Callithrix jacchus: one gene and its partner. The protein of the gene in region 1 interacts with the protein of each later gene in a pairwise test. Links are inferred from orthologs where the notes say so. Each region holds a gene or a part of one and is shown in the gene's direction. Other genes may lie near its edges.

Region 1 (3,820 bases):
GTTTTTGTCTGATATTAATATAGTTATTCCAGCTTTGTTTTGATTAGTGCATTGAAGTATATCTAGTTTAGTATTTTGCATCAATTTACTTCAGCCTACATATATCTTTGTAGGTGGCAGAGGTCTTTCTTTTGTATATCCAAAATGACAATCTCTGCCTTTAAATTGGGTTTTTTATTCCATATGAATTTTCTTTACTAATTTATATGGTTGGAAATCTACTGTTTTCCTTGTTGTTTTCAGTTTTCTTTTTCTGTTTTATTGTTTATTTCCTGATTTGGTTTATTAGTTTTACCCTTTTTTGAGGATATTATGTATTGCTTGAGGACTTACAATACATATTTTTAACTTACTAAATTCTATTTTTAAATAATATTATACTACAGCATGTATAGTGTAAGAATCTTGCAATAATAGATTTCCATTTCTTCCCTTTTTTGTGCTATTGTTTTTATATGTTTTATTTCTACTTATTTTATAAATTATTGTTACTTATAAGTATAGTTTAATTTTTTTGTTTCAAACATTATATATGGAAACATTTGGTTTTATGCATTTTAAAATCATGTTTGGTATGATTCCATTCTTACTATCATACTTCAGTGTTTTCATTTTATTGCTCTAACTTTAGAGTGTTACTTCACTAATTTAATCATTCTACCATTGATAGATATTTATTTCTAGTTCCTGGCTATAACCATAGTTTGCAGTGAACTCTCTTGTACGTGTCTCTAGGTCTGTATGAGCAGAAAAATTTCCAGAATGTATGCCTAAAAGTAGACTTTCTAGGCCACCTGTGTATATCTGTAACTTCACTAGCTTTTGCCAAATTGTTTTACAAATGTACACTCCCCACAAACCGTATAGGAGATACCTTTTACTTAGTATCTTTGCCAATAACTTCATATTGTTAGAGTTTTACATTTTTTTCAGTGTAATGTGTAATTAACAGTGCTATAGTGGTACTGGAGATCAAATCAGTTAAAAATAACAATAACCACCAACATCCCTTTCCTCATTAAGTTTACATTGTAGTGTTGTCCAATATTTTTTTGTTTTGTTTTCTGTGGTTCATTTCAAAGTGAAGCTATCTGTTTAATGGCAACATTTACCTAGTGCTTAGTCTAGTTAATACATTTTGCTACTTCATTTTCGAATTATTTTTATTGACGTTATGCTAGCATCTTTATTATTTTTAATCACTAAGCGTTAAATGAGTTGGGTTTTCTTGGAATAGTTATTGCCAAAAAATGTATGTGGTGAAGAGAGGGCCAGGGAGGATTTACAAGTTTGCAATTTTTTGTTTGCTTGCTTGCTTTTTTGGTTTTACAATGCAAAGCTTTCTTTCCTTGTTTTCTGCTACCATACAGCCTTTTTGCAAGGAAGTTTGTAATGTGTTTAGTATGAAATCTGGCACTACTGCTTACTTGATAATTCCAATGAAAGTGACAGTGTAGGGTTGTCATTGTTGGTGGGCTTTATTTGTTCCATTATTTTTCTCCTTCTTGAATTATTTCTAGGAGTAGAAGATGAAAATAGTCATGCTTATACTGGAAATCTTGACTGACTTTGGCATTATTTTATTTCCACTGTAACTTAATTTTTTTCCATTTGCAGTTATAAAAAGTTGGTATCTCTGAAAATAGCTGATACTGATATAAGACCGAAGATCAGTTTAAAATTTAATACAAAAGGTATTATTTTATTTTTATATGCCTTCCATTGAAAACTGTGTTAAAATGTTTTACTTCTGTTGTCAACTTTCATGCCATTAACTACCACATCTTCACTGTGTTTGTCATTCACTGAACTTGGGTTTATACCAGCAAGTAGCACTTGGTGTAGGCTGGAAATCACAGACAGGAAGATCAGCAGATGTATGGACCTCACATTACCTTGCTATACTACATGCTATACATGCTATAGAGAAACATGCTAGTTCTGGTGCATAGCTGTAACTATACTGTGGGATTATGTCCTAGCAGAGGTTTTCTACCAACCCTTCTTCCCCTGCTGTATTCCTTCTTAGTAGAGCAAGCATTAGAGTACCCTTACATGAAAGGAATGAACATTTTGAGTTTGAGACCAACTACTCTAAACTTAGCTGCCAGCTGTTTAGGAGCATGCTAGTACATTTCCTGCCCAGAACCCGAAGACCTTAATTAAGGGAGCCTAGGCTCTTGGAAGAATAGTTTGGTGGCAGTCCAGCCAACTTCTTATTTGGCAACTCAAAGGAAGCTCCCTGTGTCATTTGCATTTTAACTTTGCTCCCACAGTGTATATCAAGTATTTCAAGCAAAAGTGTTAATTTAAAAAATCTCTTGAAACATAGAATCTTGAAGGATAAAATAATAAAGCTGTATTATGTGACAAATGCATATTTCAATATACATACAAAAGCCAAATGCCATCATATATCAGATTATTAGTACTCTCTAATTCACTTCAGCCTACTTTTCTCCTTCGAAATCACTATTAAAACAGGAAAATACCAAATAGTTCAGTTTCATGCCTTATTCCACGTTATTGATGAAATATCTACTTTATTATCTTTTTTGGAGGGGTAAGAAGATGAGGTTTATTAGATCAGAGTTTCTCAAACATCATACATATATTTGATATATTTGGTGATTTTGTTAAAATGCAGATTTCAGTTCAGTAGGTCTGCAGTGGGGCCTGAGACTGTGCTTTTCTAACAGGCCCTCAGGTAGATGCTGATGCTGCTGGTCTCTGGGCTACCCTCTGAGTAGCAAGGAACTAGATCTTTTTGCATTTCTTGATATAGATCTGAGCTATCTAGTATAGGAGTCCCTAGCTATATGTGGCTACTTAAATTTAAGTTAATTAAAATTAAATTTAAAATTCAATTTCTTAGTCACCCAAGCAGCATTTCCAGTATTCAACGAGTATTAGTGCAAATATAAAACATTTTATCACACCACATTCTGTTGGACAGTGTGGATTAGGATAAAGTATAATTATTTAAGTAAAGCATAATTAAACATTGACAATTAGCATTCTTGGTAAATTTTAGAATTTTTAAAGATCTAATACTTTGATGCTATTTTGTTGCCAAAGATCATTTACGTGAACAAAACCTTGGATGGTTGAAAGACTTCTGTGGTGATTAGTCTTTGATTACTTTTGCTTGGGAACATGTTTCTGTTTAGATTTTTTGACAGAGAGAAAGCAGCTTGCTTATTGAGCATCAGTTGTGGCAAAGCAGTGTACTGTGCTTTATTCTTTTGGAACAGTTTTTATCCTGCAGCAGCTAAGGATAAAATATGAGAGGCCAAATAGAAAAAGAGCATTGGGCCGGGCGCGGTGGCTCAAGCCTGTAATCCCAGCACTTTGGGAGGCTGAGGCGGGTGGATCACGAGGTCAAGAGATGGAGACCATCCTGGTCAACATGGTGAAACCCCGTCTCTACTAAAAATACAAAAAATTAGCTGGGCGTGGTGGCGCGTGCTTGTAATCCCAGCTACTCTGGAGGCTGAGGCAGGAGAATTGCCTGAACCCAGGGGGCGGAGGTTGCGGTGAGCCGAGATCGCACCATTGCACTCCAGCCTGGGTAATGAGAGCGAAACTCCGTCTCAAAAAAAAAAAAAAAAAAAAAGAAAAAGATCATTAATGTGGAATGTCTTGACTTCCCAAAATTTATTTTCAGATGAAATGCCTATCTTCAAGCTTGATTATAATTACTTCTATCATCTGCTTCATATAATTATTATTTCTGGTACTGACGTTGTTCGGCAAATATTTGATGAGGCTATGCCACCCCCTCTTTTGAGAAAAGAGCTTCTTATACACAAGAATGTGC
Region 2 (4,485 bases), on another chromosome or scaffold:
GAAGTCAGACAGTTATTTTTTTCTTTTTTAGACAGCATCTCACTCTGTTGGCCAGGCTGGAAAGCAGTGGTGCAATCTTGGCTCATTGCAGCCTCTGCCTCCCTGATTCAAACGATTCTCCTGCTTAGCCTCCAGAGTAGCTGGGACTACAGGCGCCCACCACCGTGCCCTGTTAATTTTTGTATTTTTAGTAGAGACAGAATTTCACCATGTTGGTCAGGCTGGTCTCCAATTCCTGACCTCAAGTGATCCACCAACCTCAGCCTCCCAAAGGGTTGGGATTACAGGCATGAGCCACTGTGGCCCACCATTAAGTCAGACAGTTCTGAGATCAAAAATGGGATGATAATACTTAAGAAGAGTGCTAAATGATGTCACTAGGGTCCCATTTCTCCCAGTCTCTCATGCCTGCTTTTTGGTTGTTGGCTCCATACTTGGATAGACTCTCTTCTTTGGTCCCAATATGGCTGAAAGTATCCAGGGTCGTTTATATTCTCTCAGCTTCAAGTTGATTGTGCTTCTTTGGTCTAGATTGGATTACGTGACCAACCCTAAACCATGCCTGTGGGATTGTGAAGCTCTGATTGATTTAGAGATCTTATTCACCTTTCAGTACAATTGAATGGATGACCATAGCCAATGATGACCGTGGTGGATAGGTCAGAGGAGGTAAACGCAGAATCAGCAAAACCAGTGTCCACTGTAAATTTGAAATGAAAATAAGACTTAACATCTGAATAATACTGTTATTTCTTGTTTCAGAAGTATCAAAAAGTTAAATGTTTTATTTCTACAGTGTGTATTTGGTACATGAGTTATATGATTTGTAAAAGACAAATCTTACCTTTACAGAGCTTCCGTTCTTGTTAGTAGGCAAACGTGGCATATTATAAAAACTCTTGTGGTATACAGACTGTAAGTCTACAAGAGGTTCAGCAAAGGAGGGCCTTTAGAAGCTTGCGAGGTCCAAGAAAGTTTGGGGGTGTATTTGGGGGAAAAGCAAGAGAGGAGCCTTTAGTTTTCATTTTATATTCATCAAAAAGGTTTAATTTTATTTACAAGGAGCATATATTATTTCCATAATAACAAATTTAAAATAGTTTTTAAGGCCAGGCGTGATGGCTAATGCCTGTAATCCCAGCACTTTGGGAGGCCAAGGCGGGTGGATCACTTGAAGTTAGGACTGGGAGACTGGCCTGGCCAACATGGCAAAACCCTGTCTCCACTAAAAATAAAAAATTAGCTGGACATAGTGGTGCATGCCTGTAATTCCAGCTACTCAGGAGGCTGAGGCTGGAGAATCACTTGAATCACTGCCTGGAGGCAGAAGTTGCAGTGAGCCGAGATTGCGCCACTGCACTCCAGCCTGGGCAACAGATTAAGACTCCGTCTCAATAAATAAATAAATAAATAAAATAGTTTTTTTTGGGGGGGGACGGAGTCTCATTGCCCAGGCTGGAGTGCAGTGACGCGATTTCGGCTCACTGCAACCTCCGCCTCCTGGGTTCAAGCAATTCTCCTGCTTCAGCCTCTCCAGTAGCTGGGATTGCAGGCACGCACCACCTAATTTTGTATTTTTAGTAGAGATGGGGTTTTACCTCATGGACCAGGATGGTCTCGATCTCTTGACCTCGTGATCCACCCGCCTCGGCCTCCCATAGTGCTGGGATTACAGGCGTGAGCCACCGTGCCCAGCTTAGTTTTTAAGTTAGTAATGAGAAGTGAGAGGCCGGGCATGGTGGCTCACACCTGTAATCCAGGCACTTTGGTGGCCAAGGTGGGCAGATCGCCTGAGGTCGGGAGTTCAAGTTCAAGAGAAGTGAGAAAGTACTATTATCACTCTTTTTTTGTTTTGTTTTGTTTGAGTCGGAGTTTCGCTCTTGTTACCCAGACTGGAATGCAATGGCACGATCCTGGCTCACCGCAACCTCCTCCGCCTCCTGGGTTCAAGCAATTCTCCTGCCTCAGCCTCCTGAGTAGCTGGGATTACAGGTGCGCACCACCATGCCCAGCTAACTGTTTGTATTTTTAGTAGAGATGGGGTTTCACCTTGTTGACCAGGATGGTCTCGATCTCTTGACCTCGTGATCCACCCACCTCGGCCTCCCAAAGTGCTGGGATTATAGGCGTGAGCCACCACGCCTGGCCTTATTATCACTCTTAAAAAAAAAAGTCTTTGGACTAATAGAAGAAAAGGAGGGAAAAAGCCTAAATATGACCTCCTCATTCAGTAGATCTTTCAGAGACTTAACTAATGAGTCTACTAAATCAATTGGAATGAAATTATTTTTACCTCATAAGTTGTAATTACATCTAACAATATGTAAATAAATTATGGAATCTAGGCACTATTTGGGGTCATTTCTTCCATTAAACCTTATATGAGATTCCAGTACTCCCTCTTCAACATCCGGAGTTGTTATCAAAATTGGCTTGAAGACTTCCAGTAATGTATACTTACCTCCTGAAGTGGCCTATTGTGTTTTGCAAGTCTATCTAAAAGCTTATGTTGACCTGAAAGGAAATAGTATTTGTACAGTTAACCCCTCTTCTTTCTGACTTCCTTGTTTCTGACTGTTGCTATGATTTCAGTCAGTTGAAAAACCCTGTTTTCTACCTGAATTGTCATCAAGTCAGGGCCTTATATTGATTTTCTGGACTTAAGTGTCAGACTCACCTTTGTCATTGTTAAATTTCATCTTGTTAGATTCGACACAGAGTTGCAGCCTGTCAAGACCTTTTGGATCCTGATTCCATCATCCATTGTTATTAAGTATCCTTGTCAGCTTTGTGTCACTGCAGGTTTGATAAATACGTACATTTGTGTCCTCATACAAGGCATTTATAAAAATGTTGAACAAGGCCGGGTGTGGTGGCTCATGTTTACAATCCTAGCACTTTGGGAGGCTAAGGCAGGTGGATCACGAGGTCAAGAGATTGAGACCATCCTGGCCAATATATGGAAACCCCGTCTCTACTAAAAATACAAAAAATTAGCTTGGCATGGTGGTATGCACCTGTAGTTCCAGCTACTCGGGAAGCTGAGGCAGGAGAATTGCTTGAACTCAGGAGGTGGAGGTTGCAGTGAGCCAAGATTGCACCACTATACTCCAGCCCGGTAACAGAATGAGACTCTGTCTCAAAAAAAAAAAAATGTTGAATAAGACCAAGCCATGCAGGCCATCACTGGATCTCTCTTTCTATATATTGTCACTTACTACATAACAGATTCCATATGTTAATTGTATGGTTGTTGCATAAGATTATAATGGAGCTAAAAAATTTTATTGCCTAGTGACGTCTTGATGATCCTGACCCTGTGTAGATCTAGGCTAATATGTATGTGTGTTAGTTTCCCCCCCCCCCACAACTCCCCAGTCATCCAGAAACAGGTTTGGAGGAGAATGTGTCTTAGTTTTTAACAAAAAAAGTTTAAAGAGAAAGAAAAAATTAATAGAAAACAGCTGATTGAATAAAGATATAAAGAAAGAAAATATTTTTGTACAGCTGTAAATGTGTTTGTGCATTAATTGTTATTACAAAAGAGTCAAAAAGCCGGGTGCGGTGGCTATGCCTGTAATCCCAGCACTTTGGGAGGCTGAGGCGGGTGTATCACGAGGTCAAGAGATTGAGACCATCCTGGTCAACATGGTGAAACCCCGTCTCTACTAAAATACAAAAAATTAGCTCGGCGAGGTGGCACGTGCCTGTAATCCCAGCTACTCAGGAGCCTGAGGCAGGAGAATTGCCTGAACCCAGGAGGCGGAGGTTGCGGTGAGCCGAGATCGCGCCATTGCACTCCAGCCTGGGTAACAAGAGCGAAACTCTGTCTCAAAAAAAAAAAAAGAGTCAAAAAATTTTAAAGATTTCTAAGTTATAAAGTAAGCCAGGCAAGGTGGCTTACGCTTGTAATCCCAGCACTTTGGGTGGCCGAGGTGGGTGGATGACCTGAGGTCCGGAGTTTGAGACCAGCCTGGCCAACATGGTGAAACCCCATTCTACAAAAAATTTAGCCAGGCATGATAGTGGGTACCTATAACCCCAGCTACTTGGGAGGCTGAGGCAGGAGAATTGCTTGAGCCTGGGAGATGGTTGTTGAAGTGAGCCAAGATCGTGCCATTGTACTCGAGCCTGGGTGACTGGCAGAGCAAGACTCTGTCTCAAAAAAAAAAAGTTATAGGAAGCTAAGAAGAAAAGAAAATGTATTCATTTAGGGTAGCCTGGCCGGGTGTGGTGGCTTATGTCTGTAATCCCAACACTTTGGGAGGCCTAGGCAGGCAGATCACCTGAATGAAGTCAGGAGTTCGAGACCATCCTGACCAACATGGAGAAACCCCATCTCTACTAAAAATACAAAAAATTAGCTGGGCTTGGTGGTGCATGCCTGTAATCCCAGCTACTTAGGAGGCTGAGGCAGGAGAATCACTTCAACCTGGGAGGCGGAGGTTATGGTCAGCTGAGATTGCACCATTGCATTTCAGCCTG

Evidence for each region.
Region 2: the proteins of DZIP3 (region 1) and ZCCHC10 interact in binary tests that used the Homo sapiens proteins (3 or more experiments, as listed by UniProt). The link is inferred for Callithrix jacchus from reciprocal best matches to the Homo sapiens genes DZIP3 and ZCCHC10.

What each region holds. Positions count from the first base shown.
Region 1 is NC_133516.1:99,714,029-99,717,848, forward strand, and holds part of DZIP3 (E3 ubiquitin-protein ligase DZIP3), read left to right. Parts: intron 1-1,617; coding exon 1,618-1,694; intron 1,695-3,667; coding exon 3,668-3,820. UniProt on the Homo sapiens protein: E3 Ubiquitin ligase proteins mediate ubiquitination and subsequent proteasomal degradation of target proteins.
Region 2 is NC_133503.1:75,414,166-75,418,650, forward strand, and holds the start of ZCCHC10 (zinc finger CCHC domain-containing protein 10), read left to right. Parts: upstream 1-1,645; 5' UTR 1,646-1,714; coding exon 1,715-1,992; intron 1,993-4,485.